Lytechinus pictus: one gene and its partners. The protein of the gene in region 2 binds, or shares a complex with, the protein of the main gene of each other region. Links are inferred from orthologs where the notes say so. Each region holds a gene or a part of one and is shown on either strand. Other genes may lie near its edges.

Region 1 (6,989 bases), on a different chromosome or scaffold from region 2:
TTTTTTTGGCACTATTTTTTTACTCTAAAATTTCATACAAATTTGCATCAATATAGGCCCATTTGCCTCTATTTCATGGCAATGTTTATTTTGACCAATCTCAATTTTCCATAAATTTTTTTAATGAATCACCACGTTTTGCGGCCACAATTCAACAGCCCCCACCCTCTGTTCGACAAAACGCATCATGTGTGCAAGTGCCACCGAATTGCGCTGCACGTACCTCATGCGATATGCAACCCAAAAGTTGCAGCGGCCATTCACTCCCACACAACAATTGGACCCCATGTCGAATGGATGATTGCCATTATAGCATGCAGTCAACTCGATTACTGTGCAATCTCAACGTGGTTGGCTAGGCCCACAGCTGCAAATTGTATAGAACAGATAGCGTAGCGTTCACAGGGCCTGACCTTTACTTTTTTCTTAGGGAGCCAGCCGGGCTCCTCAAGCACTTTTTTAGGGAGCCCGCATGGGTTTTAAGGAGCCCAAGTTTATCCCTTTTTTTTGCATAATACTGGTCATTACCTATTAAAATATTAAAGCACACCATCACGATACCAGTTGTATTTATTCAGGGTAAATCAGATTTTGACACCCCAACACACTTAGACACCGGTCACAAACACATAAGTCAATGACTTTTTTTTTTCATTTTTAATGCCCCCCCCCCCTCAAAAAAAAATAATAAATTCAAAAAAGGAAACAAATTAAATACATAAACAAAATTGATTTTTTTTTTTCATGCTGAATCATGGATGTGGGTTGGTGTGTGTTTGTGTGGGTGTGACTGTGCGGTGGACTTGGATATACATGTATATGTTAAAGAAATTAATTCATCATCTAATTTTTACTCCAAATATTGTGTTTATATCAGTACAAAAACCACACAGGCTAAGTATGTCACATGTAGGCACATGTTACATGTACATGCATGTATACCCTAACTTTTCCTGCAGTTCTTTGAAAACGCAGATCTCCACGAAAATTGCATTTTTCTATAGGGGAGTCTAAATTTGGTGAAAAAGTATTCATCAATAACTTAAATATATATCACAATGAAGAAACCATCCAACTTTATTGGTAGTTTAAAAAAAAAAACCTGAAATGTAAACTCTATCTGAAACAGAAAATCACCATCATTGAGGCCTTTACTGACTGAATTGTCCCCCAGAGCTCAGGCAGAGAGAGAGAGCTCCGACTTGCACAAGTGTCAGTGCGTGCGTGAGTAAAATCCGGCGTCCTCCTAAAATCAGATGTTGCCATGTTTGATGATTTACTGTCTGATATTTACCCCCTCCCTTGAAAAAATGAAACAAATGATTTTTCAGGAATAATTCACTACCGAGGTAAGTTATTTTGGATGTTAATAGGCGCCCTTTTGACAAGCAGAGCCGATGTCTACATGACACAGAATCGTGATATCTCTAAGGGAAATGTGTGCATTGAAAATTACACACGGCGTAAATGATAATGGACCCCTGTACATGCAACTGTTTCTCGCACCGGTGTAGCACGATTCTTTTTTCCATAGGTACCATGTGTGTGGAAAAACGTGGTACAGAAAAAAAGACGCAGCTAAGCAATTTGAAACTCGCTATTTTCGCTATTTTCAAGGTTTTTTATGATTTTGAAAACATAATTTAGACTTATAAAGCGTGGATTAGTGTGCTGGTAAGAAATTGCTTTTTTGGTGGCTGATACTAGAAAATCTTAGGGAGCCCACCGGGCTTTTTCAATTACTTTCTAAGGAGCCCGCAGAGGTTTTAGGGAGCCTTTTGCCACCGGGCTCCCGCTAAAATCGAGCCCTGGTTCAACGCTAGCGGGCATGTACATTTTGCTTATTACATGACGTCATCCAGCCACTGCAGAGAGCCAATTTATGAATGAAAATATAGCAAGCCTTCCATTACCCCACACAGTATTCCAAAAAGTGTGTGCAGTAAATCGACCTAGAATTTAACTTTCCTATATTTAAGATGAATATCTCGGAGGATCTACATGGATTTTCTTGCCAATACTGCACAGGTAAGCGAATTTCGATTACTTCCTGCTTTTCAGTCAAAGCTTACAAATTAGCCTCGATATGACATTGTGTTAGTTGGAGTTTGTAGTCTATCGAAACGTGCACAAAGTCACAATTGATTTCCGGGTTTCGGAGCATCTCGTGAATATGCATGAAATTGCCGAGTCTTGATAATTTTCAATCAATGCTGGAGCGATCCGATCACGAACCAAGACCAATTCCGGCGTAGACAATGTGACTAGATATCTTATCGTTATCGATACTTTCGCAGTCCGAGGCATAATTTTGGCGACCACGTAGTCATGACGTGATCTGCGCGATTGACCAATCAGCGGTCTCTGATTCGCTGTCGGGGACGGTCTATCCGTATTACACAGTCTCTGGACAATTTGCCACTGTGAGGCCCTTTTTCCTTAGTTTTTCAGTTCTTTCTTTTTTAAGTTATTTTCAAAATACAATCCTAAATTTGCGAGCTTGTAAGTGAACTTACAAGTCATTAAGTCATTCTTAACAACAGATTTTGGTCTGTTCGATTTTTAGAAATTTTTTAATCAGTGGACCCGCTTCTCAAATTTGAGCCAAGCTCTGGAAATGGCTCAGATTCTGTATTTTAAGGGAAAATTTTGACTTTTTGAAGGGTAGGCCTATTTTGGAGTTCACATCAGAAATCGATTGCACGTGGCGAGTTAGACCAAAAGCTTCGGTCTCTGTTACATGTATGTTGGCTGTTCCGCTGAACTCCGTTGGCTCCACTCACCACATACAGAGACCGGAAGTTCAACTTCTAGCTCAATCTGTACAAGGACTCAATGGCCATATGTTTATGTATTTAATAAGTTCGGATAAGACAGGGAAGTGAAGTTGCGCGACAGCTGAAATCACTGTTTTTCCCTTTTAAGTTTATTTTTCCCTGTTTTGGTGCATTTCAGGCCAAAATAGAATATTTTTTATTTTGGTAGCCTAGTTCTTTTTAAATATTATGTTTATGAAATGAAGTCAAAAATCGATGAGCCCCGTCGGAGGGATTTTGCATTGTTAACCCCCTGCTGCATGATACTTGATAGCGAGCCGTCCGTGTAGGCCCTAGGGCTAGGCCTACCCTACGAGAAAAAATAAAAATGTTGAAAAACTCCTCGACCAGTGTGCCCGTGTCATGCGCAATTGAACGTGCTGGCTTATCATGAAATGACTTTGGCTTGCATGTCGAATTCAATTTCAAAACACGTTACCATACTTACGCCGTCACGGTACCCCATCCCCCCCCCCCCCCCCCCGAAAAAAATATTTTGAATTCAAACACTCCCAGTCGAATGGTGAAAAGGGGTACCCAATCTCCCCAATTTGCAATTGATCTGACTGAAGTGAAAGAAAATACATAAGATTCTAATCTGGGCTTTATTTCACATTCGGCACATACACTCGCTCCAGTCTCTCAGGCTCAGCAAATAGCACACCTCAGCTCCACCGCGCTGTAGGCCTAGGCCTACAGTCACTCTAATTCACCACACATCACCTCGTTACGCAGATCAACACGCACCAATTTACACATATAAATAAATGTTTCGAATAAATCTCACCTTATCCCTCATCCTCTAATTATACGTATTAAAACTTCTTTTATAGGTACTGGAAGTTTGAGGTGCTGATTATCCTTCAAAAGAAGGATTTAAACAGATTTGGGAAGCACCGCAGTTGACGAGTGTCAACTGTGAGCGATGCCTAGATAAAGAGAGAGCGTATTGGTTGTAAGTTGCCGATTTAAGAAAAAGAAACACAAACAACACATCATGCGTTCGATGATAAAATCCATCAAAGAATTTTCACATAACCGATACAAATTAATTGTTTTCTTAAGGCAAATAACTTTTAAATGTATTCATGTATATCCATTTATTTCTATTCCATCCTCGAAAATTTTTTTTTTTAAATTTGTTATCAACTTATGTTACCAAAAATGGCGGAACCCATGGAAGAATTAGAGCAAGATTTACTTTGCGAAAAACCTGCTGATACCAATGCTATTGAGGGAAATGAGGAATCGACCGGTCAGCAATCGATGGATAGTCAGACCTTGTCTGCAGTTTTACAGTTCTTGAGGAAAAATAACCTGAAAGTGAGTTCCAGGGTGTCCACCTTTGCACTTGCAGAGATAAAAATCTGTGCTGCAGTGCATTGCCCGTCCCCATGCATAAATATCTGTGTGTGTGTGTGTTTGTTTAACTTTTTTTTTAACTTCAACACAAAAAAAGTTTGTCTGTCTAACTCTAAGTTACATCTGTTTAGCTAATCATTACATTAGACTTGATATGGATTGGATCAAGATATAACTATGGTGTCTGAAGCCACACTGAAAAGTGTCAGCATAAAACAGGCTGATTATTTTAGGGCAAAATACCGGTATGGCACATTTTTGGGGGGAAGTTCAGGCCACTCTAGGCGACACCCCAACTAATAAACTGGGACTCCACTCACGCGCATTTGGGCCGCCCTAGCTTAGAACTAAGCAATATTATCTAGAAATTGTTAGGCCTACATTGTAGTCATTAAATATGTTCTATTAAATAAATTGATAATGTTTAATCGGTACTCACCGGTTCTTTTGTTGCATTTTCAGACCATTTCTCACAATTCTTCGAAAATATTTGCGGCAAATTTTGTCGCCATAGACAGCTTAGCATCCATCTTTATTGATAAATGGAGCGCCCTTTACGATAGTTGTTAATGCCGCGGAGAAATCGTTAGGCATTTTGGCCTGTGTTCAAGGCGTTCTTTCTGTTTTATTTTTTATATTGAAGATTGTGCATTTGTTGAATAGCGCCGTCTACGTCAGGTATGAGATCGAGTGTATAAATAAACTCTTCCAAAATAATTATGATTGCGACCTGGCGCTGTTTAACTTCAATCTCTTTCACCTAAATTAGCGATGAATGCTAGCATTATAAAATATATATTATTAACGTCTGACGAAAAGAATAACCAACCGATCAGCTGCCGAGAACGCGAATCACGTGATCTTCATATCAGCTTCGATCGCGAGTCAGAAGAGAAGAGCAGCTGCCCAGAAAATCAGGAAAAAGCCGTGAAAATGTAAGTTCCCCTTCATTTCTTTCATTTTTTGTTGTTGCTAACGATGCATTTACACTATAAAATTATAATTTAAATAAGAGAAAGGAATATAGCTTGTACTTGTGATATAATATATAAATATCCTGTTCTCAGAGATTTCTAACCAAAAATACTACTGATGTCGCCTATGAGGTCCATACATGTAATGTTGGACCTCATTGGTACTAGGAGTGGTTCAGGCTACTATTTAGTACTAACACTCTAGGCGACACCCCAATACTTACCCGTGTTAATAAATAATAGACTGGGACTCCACTCACGCACATTTGGGCCGCCCTAGCTTGGAACTAAGCATCAATATCAATTTAAAATATATATCTACAAGTTATGTATAACCTATTTACTACTTTGATAATGTTTAATCGGTACTCACCAGTTCTTTTGATGTATTTTCTCAAGAATTTCCACGGATTTGTCCCAAATCTTGCGACAAACCACGTCGCGGTAGACAGCTGTACATTCTTTTTTATTTATAAATAGAGCGCCCCTTACGATAGTTGTTAAGAACGCGGCCAAATTGTTAGGTTTTTTGCACTGTGTCCAAGGCGTTTTTATTTTGTTTGATTTTTTATTTTTTAATAAATATTTTGTTAAATAGCGATTTTTACGTCAAATATTAAATTCATATCACAAAATATTTTTAATTGTAGAAATATATATAATATCATGCAATTATTTATTCTATATATATTTTATAATAGAATTTATAATTGTTGCGGTCTTTAAAAAAGGATAGTCGATCGATTAGGTGATGACTACTCGTATCACGTGATCTGAAAATCAGCTTCGTACCGCTTTGATCGCACTCGACGGGACCGGACTGACTGCCAAGAAAAGATTGAAAAAGGACTCAAATGTAAGTTTCCCTTTATTTTATAACATTTAAAGTATGAGAAGGATTATAGTTAATGGGCAATTTTTTAATAAATGCTAAACAAATGAGGACAAAGCTTGCATTTTTCGAGTAATAATCACTAATATCATAAAAATACTTGGGTGCAGGACTTCTAACCTGTTTTTAACGCATTGTCGCCTATGAGGTCCATACATGTTAATGTTTGGACCTCATTGGTACTAGGAGTGGCTACTAATAGAAAAATGTGATCTGAATTGATTATTAACTTGTGAAGTTGTGTTTGGCATGTATGGAAAGAGAAAATTCAGGGGCTTCTTTTGACAGTAAGGACAAGTTTATATGATCATTTTAAATAAGGATTTAGAGATATAAATTTCAAACCCTTATTTTTGTGTGTGTTGAGATTGCCATTTCTCCATGCGTTTTCTATGGGAATATGAAATTTCTGTTTTGCACAATTTTTTTCACTTTGTCGCAATTTTTCATGGTGATCTGGTTTCCAAATCTATATAAAAATCGTACCATCAGATAGAGCATAAAAAATCCTATTGGACTCTTTATGGACAAGTTTTTGGCATTAATAATAAATTTATAACAGCTCTCGGAAGCTAAAAATTTGTGTGTGTCCATTTCTTAACTACACAGTCTATGGCAGAGAAATTCTGAAAATTGACCTAATTTCATTCTTCTCTTTTGCAGCCAATAATTGGATTTTTACATTTCTGTCAGTCTGAAGGTCATTTCTCTTCAAATCCACAAAGAAAATGTGATATTTTCTTGAAATAAGAAAAATAATTTTTTTCTCCAGACACCCTAATATAACGTTGGGCTCAAGTCTCAGCTCATCTATCTTTAGTTTTCAGTTAATTGATGGCCTGGGCTGGGCTGTCAGCACTCACACTAATACGAGGTTAGGGGGGGGGCACTCAGTATATAATGCATAGTGGGTATTAGACCAAAAGCTTCGGTCTCTGTTATGTT
Region 2 (7,029 bases):
AAAAAAAAAAAAGGGGGGGGGGGTAGTTTTGAAAGACTGGTCAATCGCAGGGTCTAACGTATTTAGGGTATGTTTTTTTCAAAGCTTTTTTTAAAGACTATTGAAACGTGTTTAGGGCATGCATGTTTTTTCCCCCAAGCTTTTTCCCTGCGGTCATATTCTGGCGACAACTTGTTTAGGGGTCAAAATGTGTAAATAAATCCCGCGAAAAACTTGTTTAGGGGGTTATTTTGCACACAGAGAAAAAAATGTTTAGGGGGTGTTTGGTAATAATTTGGCCACGCGTGTGTACAGCAATTCATTTGACTGCCCCCCCCCCCCCCCCCGGGCATAATTATGCTGATGAATCAATTCGATAGACAGCAGTCTGTAATAAAAGACTGCATCAGATCAACAACAGGTTTTGGATGGTTAAAATACAGGGAAAGAAAATGAAGCGAGTGAGTACTGGCAGCGTGCTAACAATGTTTTTTTTTAATCTAAATTCATGTGGGCTATAATTTGCCACTAAAACTCTTTAAAATGAGGGCAAACAAAAGAAATAAGGAAGGTAGTACAAACAAAAAAGTCCAAGATAAAGTTGAGAAGAGAAGGAGAAAGAAAGGAGAGAAAGGAAAGTAAAAAAAAGAGAACATAGAGAAAGACGGAGAGAATACGAAATATTATATTTATTCTTTCTTCTCTTCTTTGTTTTATTTTACCTTTTTGTTCTATTTTTTTTTCAATTTTTTTCTTCTACCGTCTACCATTTCATTTTTTATTTTTCCTATAGATTTATCTTCATGGGAGGGGATTCACCTCCTGTGCATCAATTTCCCCTTCACTGCATATTTGACATTCTAAGCTTTTCCTCCTCGTTTCTGAAAAGTGTCACTGAAGTGTCCCTCTTTATTATGAAGCAACATCTTTCTTTTTTTTAATAAATATTTTTCTTCCCTTCCCAATCATGCCCCACTTCTCTCCCTTTCCCTTTCCTTCCATTTCCCTTTCCTCGAATCCATGCATATTTGACATTCTAAGCAATTTTTACAATCCTCAACAATTAACTTGAGTACGAAACTTCCCGAGCTGAAATCTTCGATACTCTGACATGAAAATGAACCCCTATTAAGGACTCTCTGCAGTGACCCATAAGGATGATACATATCTCACTCAAATTGAATGGATGTACAGTAAGTACCATATTTTGATAATGCGACCTGAAAACTTGACATTCTTCAGCCTTTTTTTTTTACTACTACTACTAGTACTACTACGACTAAATACTACTATACTATACTATACTACTACTATACTACTACTACTACTACTACTATACCACACTACTACTATACTACTATACTACTACTACTTCTACTACTACCACTACTATGGGGGCTAGTCAAATATATATATCTGTACCAAAAACCGATTGAAAAAAAGTGGTTTTGAAATACTGGTCATGGTCAATCGCGGGGTCAATGTAGGTATTTTGTATGTTTTTTTTTTTCCAAAGTTTTTATTTACGACGACCCAAACGTAGTAACGTACTTAGGGTATGTTTTCCCCCAAACTTAGTCCCCGAGGCTTTTCCTCCTCGTTTCTGAAAAGTGTCACTGAAGTGTCCCTCTTTATTATGAAGCAACATCTTTCTTTTTTTTAATAAATATTTTTCTTCCCTTCCCAATCATGCCCCACTTCTCTCCCTTTCCCTTTCCTTCCATTTCCCTTTCCTCGAATCCATGCATATTTGACATTCTAAGCAATTTTTACAATCCTCAACAATTAACTTGAGTACGAAACTTCCCGAGCTGAAATCTTCGATACTCTGACATGAAAATGAACCCCTATTAAGGACTCTCTGCAGTGACCCATAAGGATGATACATATCTCACTCAAATTGAATGGATGTACAGTAAGTACCATATTTTGATAATGCGACCTGAAAACTTGACATTCTTCAGCCTTTTTTTTTATCATTAAAAAAAACCGTTTCTCAGTATACATAAACAGCGCTAAGCGCGAGATGATGTTTTTAGATTGCATCGGATGTCTGGTTTTTTTTTGGAAAAAAAATGGACATTAAATCTGATTCTATGCACTTTTTTCAATCACAAAAGCTTGTCATTTGCTCATCAAATAATGCAAGCGCAAAGCGCGAGCTGTGAATTTTTGATATTCCTACAAATAAAGAACATGCAAGCTGTGTATCTCAGTAGACAATTAATGCGAGCGCGAAGCGCGAGCCGATATTTTGTTATATTACATAGGTTATGTAGATTCGAATCAGTGATAGGTCAATACACCATCACGTGACCATAACTGCGAGGATCGCATTTGTTATATTCTAGGTTTTGACGTCACCTCAGGGAATATACTGCGTTGTATTGTCAATTGCGGCGTTATATTCACTAAGGTGACGTCACTCGCTGCATACAAGTTGCGTAACAAGGTAGTTATTGATGTACGCGCTAATGTTAACGCGTCGATTGCATGAAGTACGCGCTTGATGTATTTAAAAAAAAAATATATTATGACGTAGATGGATTAGAGCTGTAGCAAGAATTTCGGGTTTGAGCCAGATGATGAATGCAATTCTGATGGCGAATCCACATAGACTATATAATATAACAGATATTGCCTGGTCTATCGTTTTAATAAATAACATTTCAACTCCCCTCCGAAGCTATAATTTTCCCTCGGGATAATATTTTCCCTCAGCGCTGCGCGCTTCGGGCAAAATATAATCCCTTGGGAAAAATATAACTCCGTCAGGTAGAGGAAATGTTATATTCAAACTCTAGGTAGGCAATATCTGTATAATATAGTACCGAAAGGGAACATTTAATCACTGTTCAACATTGAAATGAGGTAAATTTTGAAGAGGATATGGATTTCACTAAAATGATGCGAACGCACGATGTGCGAGCTGGAACTATTTGGTGATTAAAATTTAACGACTTACCACTACTACCACTGCTACCATACTGCTCTTAATTCTGTTACTATATATACTACTACAACAACTACTACTACTACTACTCTACTACTATACTACTACTACTACTACTACTACTACTACTACTACTACTACTACTACTACTATACTATACTACTATACTACTACTACTACTACTACTACTACTACTACTACTAGTACTACTACGACTAAATACTACTATACTATACTATACTACTACTATACTACTACTACTACTACTACTATACCACACTACTACTATACTACTATACTACTACTACTTCTACTACTACCACTACTATGGGGGCTAGTCAAATATATATATCTGTACCAAAAACCGATTGAAAAAAAGTGGTTTTGAAATACTGGTCATGGTCAATCGCGGGGTCAATGTAGGTATTTTGTATGTTTTTTTTTTTCCAAAGTTTTTATTTACGACGACCCAAACGTAGTAACGTACTTAGGGTATGTTTTCCCCCAAACTTAGTCCCCGAGGCTTTTCCTCCTCGTTTCTGAAAAGTGTTCGGGTTCTTATTCCCTGTTGTGGTATTTTAACCTTAAATGCACTAGGGGGGGGGGGGGGCATGCCCGGCAATACCCATATAGTTTTGTCTATTTAAGGTTATTGTTAGCAAGTAGACAAGTACTTGTTTATTTACAGGGGTCATATTCTGGAGACAACTTGTTTACGGGCCAAAATGTGTAAATGAAGCCCGCGAAAAACTTGTTTAGGGGGTTATTTTGCACACAGAAGAAAAACTCGTTTATATATTGTTTAGAAATATAATTGGTCACCCATACAGCAATATATTTGACTACCCCCCCCCCCGGGGGGGACTAGTACTAGGACTACACGGGGACAATCTAATATCTTTTAGTATGTTAACGTAATTTTGTAATGTTGAAAGTTTTTTGGGGGTTTGGGTGAGCGTTTGTTTGGGGTGGGGTATGTGTTGGGTTGGACAGTAAGAAAATGAGAAGCAACGTGCAGGAAACGGGCTATTTATTTTCGCGTGCAACAGTTGAACGCGAAAATCCATCCCATTATAGTTACATTGCGCATGCGCTATTTCATTCATTCGCAAGCCATGGTGGAGTGAAGATGGCGGGTGCGAAGTCCATTGAAGATATATTTTCTTCTGAGGTTGACGAAAAGGAGGTATCTGCGTTGGTTGGATCTCTCGTTACAAAATTAGCCCCACAGAATCCCAAGGCTGCGTCTGGACCATCACAAGATGCCACAGTGACAAGGAATCATGTCAACGATAACTCTTCCGTACATGCACAAACTGGACCTGGCGGGCTAACAACGTTAAAACAAGCGGAGCCGGGGATTTCAATACACGCGAATGCGACAAGACAAACCATGCAGGATTCCCATTTGGGCACCACGGGCGCACCAACGACGAAGGGTCTCAATCACGAGAATGCGCCTGGCAATATCCATGCAAATGACAATGCAACTCAAGGGAATGGTCAAAATAATCATGGAATAGGATCAACATCTATCGCTGATATTGTGAAACGAGACTCACAGCCACCGGCAATTTCAAACATGATGACGAAGCCGCCAACGGCTACGACCGTTTCGGTGAGCCAACAGTCACCTGCGATTGTGGCACAGATCACCGGAGCGGGCCTTCAAAAACCAAATGAACCGCCGATCAGCAGACCACTTTCTGGGAATACAATGGGTCAAAATAGAACTTCGGTTAACAATGACCAACAAATTGTTAAAGTTGTTTCAGTGCCTAGCATGCCAAGTGGCAGTGCTGTGCAAAATACAAACTCTTCAAAAAATGAACATGGTGCAACTGCAAATATGAATTCTATTTCTATTTCTAATCAAAATGTAAGCTCAGTCTCAGCTGGGTCTGCCAAAGAGCAGCTTCTCGTTAGGCAACAGACATTACCAAGTAATGATCAATCAGGTGCAATGAAACCAAGGATTGTTGTTCAGCCAAGCATAGCAGCAACAATTCAGCAAGCAACTTCTGGAGTCGCTACAATATCTGGTATTCCATCAGGCAACATGACACTGGGCAATGCCAATCAGAAAGTTGTGACAATTAATGTTGCCAATCCAGCCACCCAAACAGGAGGCAGACCAGGGCAATATGTGGTAAATACTGTTCCAGGAAGTAAAGCTGTATCGCCTCAGATTATAACACAGACAGTACGGATGCCCACTGGGCATCATGTGATTGCTCCTAGAGCACAGCTTGGTGGACAGGTTCAGATACGTCTGCCTCCAGGCACCACCTTGCCACCTGGAGTTGTATTAATCAATAAAGGAGGAACAGTACAAGCTGTCATGGCAAATCCAGCTGGCATTCAAGCTCACGTAGCAGGAGCTCCTGGAATGACAACATACCGGCATGTCCAGGTACAAAGTTTTCTAAATAGAAAGGGGGGGGGGTAATTAATACCCTGGTGTTATCTTCTTGCCCATTTGAGTCTTTAAAAAATTGAGTAGTCTAGAACCTGTCTCAATCATCTCTATGCCACTTTAAAACATCTTGTGGGCGATTCCATACGTGTCGTACGGGACATTTTGTCAACAATTTCAAGTCTCTTAGCTGATTGCTTGAGCAATGAGAAATTATTTTTGGTCAATAAAGTTATAGTGGGTAGTCATGTGAAAAACTGATTACCAACAAAAAATATTTGATTATGGCTTAATTAAGGGCGCAAAAATGTTGTGTGTCGTACGGGACTCAGAAATGTCCCGTACGACATGCAACATTTTCACCTCTAATTCACCCATGGACAGCATATTTTTGTTGGTTGTCATTTTTTCATGTCTACCCAGTAGTACTCTATTAATTACCACAAAACAAATTGAAGTTCTTTGTTTATTTGGACAATAGGTTGAAAAATGTAGCAAAAATCGCTGATTTTTCTAGCATGGAATCGCCCTTGTTTGTCATTCAAAATAATGGAGGGTAACATGGTGCAATCTTTTATGTTAACTGGTGTGTTACCAAGTTATGTAGATCTAAGTGAATTTTCAAATCCTATTTTTTCCTGTAATTCAAAATTTAGTTCAAACTAAAGAACATCTTGTGGTACAGTATATTTTTGAGAAATGGTGCATTGTGATTTTTTTTTATAACTTTTGTTCTCACTCTCATCAAACTTCCTCTTGTAGTGTTTTATTCTTCTTGTGCCATGGGCATGATAATGGATCATTTAATATGTACTTGTACAAGCATTCAGTGACTTGCTTTTGAATAATAAACTGGGTCATTATTGTCATACGGATCTAGTATTCACAATCGATGCATAGTCACAGGAACTTTTTTCTCTGTTCTTATTCAATTCAATTGAAGTTGTAGTTCTAATATAAAGATATAAAATCACATGTGGAGGGGTCATAGAAAGTGTAAAGCTTGTACAAATTGGCTCTGTAAATTACAGATAGATGTACATGTAACTTGCATCAACAAAATGACGAGATCAAAATTTTGAATCATTATAAGAAATGTAAAATCTGAAAGAGAATAGGAAAATAATTTGATTACAATGCAAGGAAAGCAATATACTGAGATACATGTATGTTTGATTCCGAAATCATGCCTATTAAATTTAAAGAGTCACTATCTTCTTAGAATTGGGTAATGAAATCAAGAAAACAAAAGTAAACAACAGATTGTTTAGTTGAAATACATGTATTATGGATTGCTTCTGAGTAAAGTAGTGCTAGTAAGTACCTGTACATTGGCCTATTGATAACTTTCATACATTGGAATCGAGCCAAAGATATCTATGAAGCATTTAATAAATTTTTCATTTTTTGGGGGGGTAAGTTTTACTTTTATTGATTTACCATTCCCAACAGTTTTACTAGAGGAATATAATTCTTTCTATCCTTATATTGCAGCCAGGAATAGTCACCTCTACAGCTCAGCCAGGGAGGGTCCTTACATCAGTTGGTGGGAGTAATGTTGTCAGCAGTCCTCAAGTTACAACCACTCGGTCAGGTTCACCTGTAGTCATTGCCTCTGGAACACCGACAACAGCAATGAGAGGAGCTACAGCTGCGAATGCATCTTCACAACAAACCTCAT
Region 3 (7,608 bases), on a different chromosome or scaffold from region 2:
GGGAGATTCAGGTATCTGCGTGAGGAGGGGGGGGGGGGGGCGGAGCAAAATATGAAATATGGTTTTGTGTATGTTGTGTGTACCTCGTTGTTCTATGTTGTGCTTATAAATACTCTATTATTTTCTTTCTTCTTATGTTTCTTTGTTTTTGATGATGATCCTTCAATGTCAGGATTTTATATCAATAAGCTTAAATTTGAAAAATTTGAATTTGTATGACTGTGTAAGTTTTTTTGTTCAAAGGCTGCAGTAGAGGCGGGTCCAACATATACCTGCATGAAGGGGGAGGAGTAAAAAAAACGGACCCCCCTAAATTTTCTGTTGATAACCATTTTTTTTTTTTGCTTGTCAATTTTTTTCCTTGGGTCCCCCCTAGATTCAGGTGGACCCCCCCTAACATTTTTGTGGCTCCCTAAAATTTTGGTTGATAACCTTTTTTTTTTTTCAGGTGGACCCCCCAAAAAAAAATATTTTGGCTTCCGCCACCAATGAAAGGGGGGAGGCTACACGTGTAAAAGCAGAATTTATTTACATTAAAATTTTTGATAATGGCTCTCAAGGAGTGGGTAGTATGTGCCCCCCCCCCCTTTGGATCCTCCACTGGTCATGTACAGGGCATGCATTTAAATTGGGTGGGGGGGTGTACATGTAACTAACCTCTGGTGTCAAGGGGGCAGCCAGCCCGTGCCCCTCCCCCCCCCCCTTGAGAGGCACAATTAAAATTTGTATATGTAAAAATGCTATTAAAACTTAAAACACAAGTGTGCCCTCCCCCCCTTTGAAAGTGAGGACTTTTATTTGGTTGTCAGATTTTTTGTAGAAGAAATGTACTTCATTTTTGGTTGAAAACATTTCTTCTTTTTTTGGTCAAATTTTTCCTCGGGAAAATGTGCCCCCCCCACCCTTGGAAAATCCTAGATCCACCCGTGTCAATACTATGTTTGAAAAGAGGTATACCCCTTCCATCCCTGATGTAACCCATTTGCTGAAAAAAAATATATACTGTATTTGAAGAGGGGGCTAACATACCCCCTTTGTCTCCTTTGGCTTAACACCTGATGAGTGCACATGTACATGCACACACACACGCCACGTGTAGATTACGTGTTCTACTGGCGCCATGACCACTGCACTTATGGGCAGCCAAAAGGGCCAAAATTAACAATCTCAAAAATAAAGAAACTCTCGGAAATAAATGTAGTATCTCAGAAATATATTATTCAGAAATTAATACATTACTTTGGACGACTAGTACATAAGTCAGAAATAAATGTATTTAACCAGAAATGGATATAATTGAGAAATAAAAGACAACTCCGAAATAAATCTTGTCAGTCATAGATAAAGATTTAGAATTATAGGACACATTCAGAAAAAAATATTGTAATTGAAATAGCAGTATATTTTACAAATAAATGTCATCGTTCAGATAAAGATGACCTCGCAAATAAAACAATGTCAAAAATAAGAAAACTCTAGAAGTAAAGATAACTACAGAAATAAAGACAACTGCAGAATCATGTTTTCACGGAATAAAAACAATTCTTGGAAATAAACACAATCACAGTTTTGCGGGGATATAACAAAAATAATTCATTTCTGAGAGAGTCTGAGAGGCTGCATTTATTTCTGAAAGACTGGGATACTACATTTATTTCTGAGAGTTTCTTAATTTTTGAGATTGTTAATTTTGGCCCTTTTGGCTGCCCATATGCACTAGCTAGCGACACAGTCACAGAGCTCGATCGCGATAGGCGATCCGTGCGGTCCATTTATTTCAATTCACCTCATCATTGCACAAGTTCAATGCGACATTTCTTATTCATTAGGGGTACGAATTGTTATTCATATCAAACAATTTCAAAAGGGTCATTATTAATGCCAGTTCATCCTCGCTCAAACTCAAGAAAAATTACGACTCATTAGTCCGACATCACCTTGCGTTTAAGATTTGAGGGCGATATGCGACACATTTGTGAAGTCGGAAAATTACCATCGCCCGAAGAAAAAACCTTCCATAGTTCATACTTTAATTGGCGTCAAGAAAACGTCGCCTGAGAAATAAAAGATAAATAAAGGCCGAACAAAAATTGAAAATACTCATGAATTATGTAAACAAAAAATCACTTTAAAAAACACAATTTTGCTTACCCGTTTCGTATTTCCAGCATCAAAACAACTTTTCGAACTCGAAATCATGTTCGCAAAGAAAGAAATTTGATGTTTCATCGAATGGCGATGAAATGAGAGAGAAAATAAAACCTGGAAGTCAAATCTCACGAAACTCGATATTTTCAAGATGGCAACTCTTTCGGGGATGTACGAGTGTCGAGTGACAAGATCGTCTCTGTAAAATGGATTATTAATTATGGACCTCAAAGTACACGATGTAAGTTTTAAAATCAAATGTAATAATTTTGTATGGCACAATAATATGATTTTCCCGTGCATGTCTTTTTTATTTTATAAAAAGTTTGATTGTATTTGTAGAAATTGTTAATATTGATCTCGCCAATTTAACACTGCACTACACGGTGTCGGTGACAGATACGAGAATAGTGTCACGAGTGTGAGTGCATGAGGCAAGCCAAGCCCCACTCACACGTATTGCGAGGTTAGTATTACTATTAGTAGTATACTAACACAACACACAACTTCTATGGCTTAATTTTTCCGTGCGCGGCGGCATGTAATGATGTACACTTGGGTGGCCAAGCCCAAGAAACTTAGACGTGGTTTCTTTTATTTACAAACAGCAATTGTAATGAATGGGACTGTTGTGTAAGATAATCGGAATATCGTCATGCGTCACTCCAGTCTTACAGCGGGATCTCTGCCTTGCAGAAAGGGGTATAAACTTAAACGTAGGCAAAAATTACAGGAGGAATCAATGGGCTTACCTTTAGAATACTTTCAGACTGAAAGCTGACAATAAAGACTAATAAAAGTGACTCCAAATAACAAATCTCGCCTCCTCCGATATTATCCGTACCGACAAAACCGTGTCGCCGAAAGGTCAAAATGGAAAAAGAAAGAAGAACGGAAAAAAAAAACCAAACATCAGCGGCGGATCCAGGATTTGAATGAAAAAGAGGTATTTCATTTGAAACATATTACTTTGACTATCCGTAGGCCTACGACAAGATTTCTTTGCTTTTGTTTTTTAACCAAAATGCATATATCATTATGTGCCACCATTGGCAAGTGATGCAAAATAACTCTTTTCATCATAAGTGTTATATTCTTTGATGGGAAAGCATTTTATGCACATGCGGACTTCTCTCCCTCTGTTCTCTTTATCTCCATTCTCTCTCTTGACCAACCCCCTCCATTCTCTCTTATATCTGCCTCTCTTGCGCATCGAGTGAGTTTCTATAGTCTAAAATCATGATAACACATAAATGTAGGTATTACATTCCTTTCTTAATCATTACAGGTTTTTATTCGTTCTTTTTTTGTGGAAATTGAATGAATATTCACTCATTTATATATTTTAAATGCAAGCAAAATCAAAGGCAGCTAGATTTTATTTTCAAATGTCATGTGTTAAAAGCCTTAAAATATAATTTCAAAATAATATTTTCATTAAAAAAAAGTGTGCTGTGTTCAAGCAAACTCAGATTTTACTTGCAATGGCAAGTCGCAGCAGCTGTTACGAATGTTGTACTTCTTGGATTGGACACTAATGGAACTAGTATATCTGTTGCCTCAGCTCCCCAACTTCATTTCTTGCATGAGCTTCATGTTAAACGTTCTCTGTTGGTGAACAACAACTAGACAGTCTGGTGATACACTTTATTCCAATCTCCTCCTGAGCCTTGCTCTTTTGTTTCTATATGTATTTATCAAACCACTTTTTCTGCGTATCCACTGGATCTCGCAGTTCTCCAGGACTGGAGGAAATCAACAGAAGAAGAAGAAGAAGGTTAATTTCTTCTTGACAAACTCACACATTAAAAATCTTTTGTTGTCCTGTTCTTGTTATATAGCTTAATGGTTTCCACACTAAGCAAAAGATAAAGCTTGCAAGATATACAGCGTGTCCCACAAAAATATTAATGACACTTTAAATGAGTATAATGTGAAAATTACAAAGTCATATTTGTATATAATTCTACAATCGTAAATTGGCATTTGTTATATGCAACTGGCTTAAATTTTATGTGATATGATCCATCGAACACAGAGATATGAGCCTTCTTTCAGAAAAGTATGTAGTCCAATCATATCTTCATTCACTCTGTTTTTTATAGATATTTGGGGCAGAACTTCCGGGCCTATATTTATTTTTTAATGGAGGTTTGAGAAACTTGGCACGATATCTTTTATCAAACATGAAAATTGATTGATTGATTATAGGCCTAAAAGAAAAAACAACAAATTTTGTAATCCATGATCTTATCTTGATCTCATCTATTCATTAGAAGGGATGAATGAATAGGTCATCACAAAGTCTTGAACAAAAGAATATCCTTGCAGATTCACACCCGTGGCTGAACGTGAATAGACATAATTTGAACCACAAAAATCTTGTTAGCTGAAACTTACTACTTGATATAAAACTTGGATGAAGAGGTTTCCTGATGTTTAATGAATAAATGCTCATATATTTGTGATCATTGGACCATATCACAAAAACAGGGGCCGTGGAACGGTTTTCAAAGTGAGGGGGGGGGGGGGGGGGGCTGACCATACAAAAAATCACAATCAGCTTCCGCGGCCCCTGAAAAAAAATCATCCACTTTTGGGAAATGAATTGTAGTTTAGAGGTGTAAAGATATAAACAATATAATGTTGTAATTTTAAAATTATACCCATCTAGAGTGACATTAACATTTTTAGGGGAACATGCTGTATTGTGAAAAATCACAATAAAATATATTCTCAATGAGATGCTTGGTTTTAAAGCAAACACTTCTCTTTGTTTGGTTGTAGTCAATTCACAAGCACCATGCATGTTTGTTGTCAAATCCATATAAATTAACATTCAATATGGAAGTTCATTTTTTTGACATATTGAATACATTTATTAAAAAATTGAACAGACATGTGGACAAATATCACAAATAATAAATATGGAAATACTTCAATATATGGAAATAAATATGTGAATAAATCTATAAAATATTTGATGTACAAGACTTATAGCACATAATACAAAAATAAATAATTTAGGTTAATTCTTTCAATAACACAGATCCCCATCTATAATATAGGAATTACAAGAGTGATTTGTATAAAGAATCCTAGCCGGTCACGCTCACAAATTGCGCCCCAATTGTGATATCATGCTTTCACGTTAGCTCGCGATAGCTCAGTCCGTAGAGCGGGGTTCGGTGACCGGGGTTCGATTCCCAATTGGTGTGCTAGTACTCTTTGGTAAGGCATCAATCCCCATTACCAGGTCCCTCAGAGAGGACCTTACGTCATCGGTCCTCTGGTTTTTGCTTACAAGCATTGATGCTTTCTCAGCAATCAGGTAACAATCACTACCATTACCATTTATCCTGACAAAAAGGTTTATTGTAAAAATCTAAACAATAATAAAAAAATATTGTTGAAGATTTGAGGGAAATCCATCAGTGATCTTAAAGTTATTTGAATTTCAATTATTTTATATTTGTGACGTCATATGCGAGCAGCTTCCCAAGTATCATGAATTTAAAAAATCAATGAAATTTCATTTTCTCAAAAATTGAAAATGTTTTTTATTGTACAGGTCTTCAGTATATCAACAGACAAATTATATTACACCTGCTCCCAAAAGAACAAAGTTATTCATTATGAACCATTAAAACATTGAAATTTATGCATTTTATATTACATAACATATAGGGGGCAGCTGCTTGTATATATGACGTCACAAATCAAAAACTTAAAATTCTAATAACTTTCTTAATATTTATTGAATTTTCCTCAAAACTTCACCACTATCTTTTATCCCTTTTTCTGCAATTTTTTGCAGGTTTTTGTCAGGGTGAACTTCTCCTTTCATCCTGATCGCCATGCATTAATCATCAGGCTCATTTTGTTACAGATTTCCTGTGATCTCACTTGTAGGTATATTGATATTCCTTAGTCTACCTCATGCTTAGGAGCCATCATTTAGTTGAATATTTCTGAATAATTTTCAATTCTCACAAACATTGCTTGATATACATGTCAGGCAAAAAAAAAAAAGAAGCCTAATTTTGCGGCATTTGATAAGTTTTAACATTGCAATGAATGGGGATTTTCGAGAGCCTTTTATAGTTTCTAAGTTTCTTTTGATCATTTTGGGGGCTGTATTGCCCTAAGCCTCTGTATATTTTTCCTCTGATACATGAAAGGCAACTAGTCAATACAGGGAAAATAAGTAGATTGAACAAGGTCCCTCATTATGTTGGTGGCACATATATTTATAAAACACATAAATTGTTTGAATACAGGTGTAGTGTAAAATTGTCTTAATGCCATCCACAAGCTGGGTTACTTTTATACACTGTACCTTTATATTGATCACATAAGCCTAAGGTGTAGTGTAAAGGTGATTAATGCCATCCACAAGCTGGGTTTACACTAATTAGTTTACACCGCACCTTTAGATTGATCACATAAACCAAAGGTGTAGTGTAAAGGTGATTAATGCCATCCACAAGCTGGGTTTACACTAAGTAGTTTACACCGCACCTTTAGATTGATCACATAAACCGAAGGTGTAGTGTAAAGGTGATTAATGCCATCCACAAGCTGGGTTTACACTAAGTAGTTTACACCGCACCTTTAGATTGATCACATAAACCTAAGGTGTAGTGTCAAGGTGATTAATGCCATCCACAAGCTGAGTTTACACTAATTAGTTTACACCGCACCTTTAGATTAATCACATAAACCTAAGGTGTAGTGTAAAGGTGATTAATGCCATCCACAAGCTGAGTTTACACTAGGAAGTTTACACAACACCTTTAGATTGATCACATAAACCTAAGGTGTAGTGTAAAGGTGATTAATGCCATCCACAAGCTGGGTTTACACTAAGTAGTTTACACCGCACCTTTAGATTGATCACATAAACCTAAGGTGTAGTGTAAAGGTGATTAATGCCATCCACAAGCTGAGTTTACACTAGGAAGTTTACACAACACCTTTAGATTGATCCCAGAAACCTGTTACATGATGAACCTATTCTGAAACCCTGTTGTCCTATTACAGTTACAATTGATTCACTTACACCTTTAGTTTCCCCATTCATACCATGCCTCAAATGTCATTATTTTTTAAACAAAGCCACATTACTAGAGGGAACATTCTATATTACAGAACAAATAAGAAAATTATGATGGACAGAATTAATCTCCAAGGACATAGATAGGGTCAATCAGACAAGGGCATCCTTGACCATGACCTCAATGACCTTTAGAATAAATTATGACAAGAAAAAAAAAATTGTCCACTCAAATGACATAAGGCAAGATAATGTAATACCATACTATCTACAAGAAAACAGCAAGAAATCATTTGATTAATTGCTTGGTACTGCAGAATTGGAAGCATTAAAAACAAACATACTGAAGCTTTCCAGCATGCACTCATTAGAGTAAAACCACATGAATGAATAGAACGCCAGAA

Evidence for each region. Proteins that work in one complex are often made in the same cells at the same time.
Region 1: transcription initiation factor TFIID subunit 4-like (region 2) and transcription initiation factor TFIID subunit 5-like share a complex: the UniProt entries of both Homo sapiens proteins name them as parts of the TFIID basal transcription factor complex. The link is inferred for Lytechinus pictus from reciprocal best matches to the Homo sapiens genes TAF4 and TAF5.
Region 3: transcription initiation factor TFIID subunit 4-like (region 2) and transcription initiation factor TFIID subunit 8-like share a complex: the UniProt entries of both Homo sapiens proteins name them as parts of the TFIID basal transcription factor complex. The link is inferred for Lytechinus pictus from reciprocal best matches to the Homo sapiens genes TAF4 and TAF8.

Annotation. Positions count from the first base shown.
Region 1 is NC_087245.1:16,414,817-16,421,805, reverse strand, and holds the start of transcription initiation factor TFIID subunit 5-like, read left to right. Parts: upstream 1-3,963; 5' UTR 3,964-3,968; coding exon 3,969-4,139; intron 4,140-6,989. UniProt on the Homo sapiens protein: The TFIID basal transcription factor complex plays a major role in the initiation of RNA polymerase II (Pol II)-dependent transcription.
Region 2 is NC_087246.1:38,471,329-38,478,357, reverse strand, and holds the start of transcription initiation factor TFIID subunit 4-like, read left to right. Parts: upstream 1-4,027; 5' UTR 4,028-4,061; coding exon 4,062-5,345; intron 5,346-6,842; coding exon 6,843-7,029. UniProt on the Homo sapiens protein: The TFIID basal transcription factor complex plays a major role in the initiation of RNA polymerase II (Pol II)-dependent transcription.
Region 3 is NC_087250.1:981,671-989,278, reverse strand, and holds the start of transcription initiation factor TFIID subunit 8-like, read right to left. Parts: upstream 3,027-7,608; 5' UTR 2,901-3,026; intron 2,545-2,900; exon of another isoform or gene 2,152-2,544; intron 1-2,151. UniProt on the Homo sapiens protein: The TFIID basal transcription factor complex plays a major role in the initiation of RNA polymerase II (Pol II)-dependent transcription.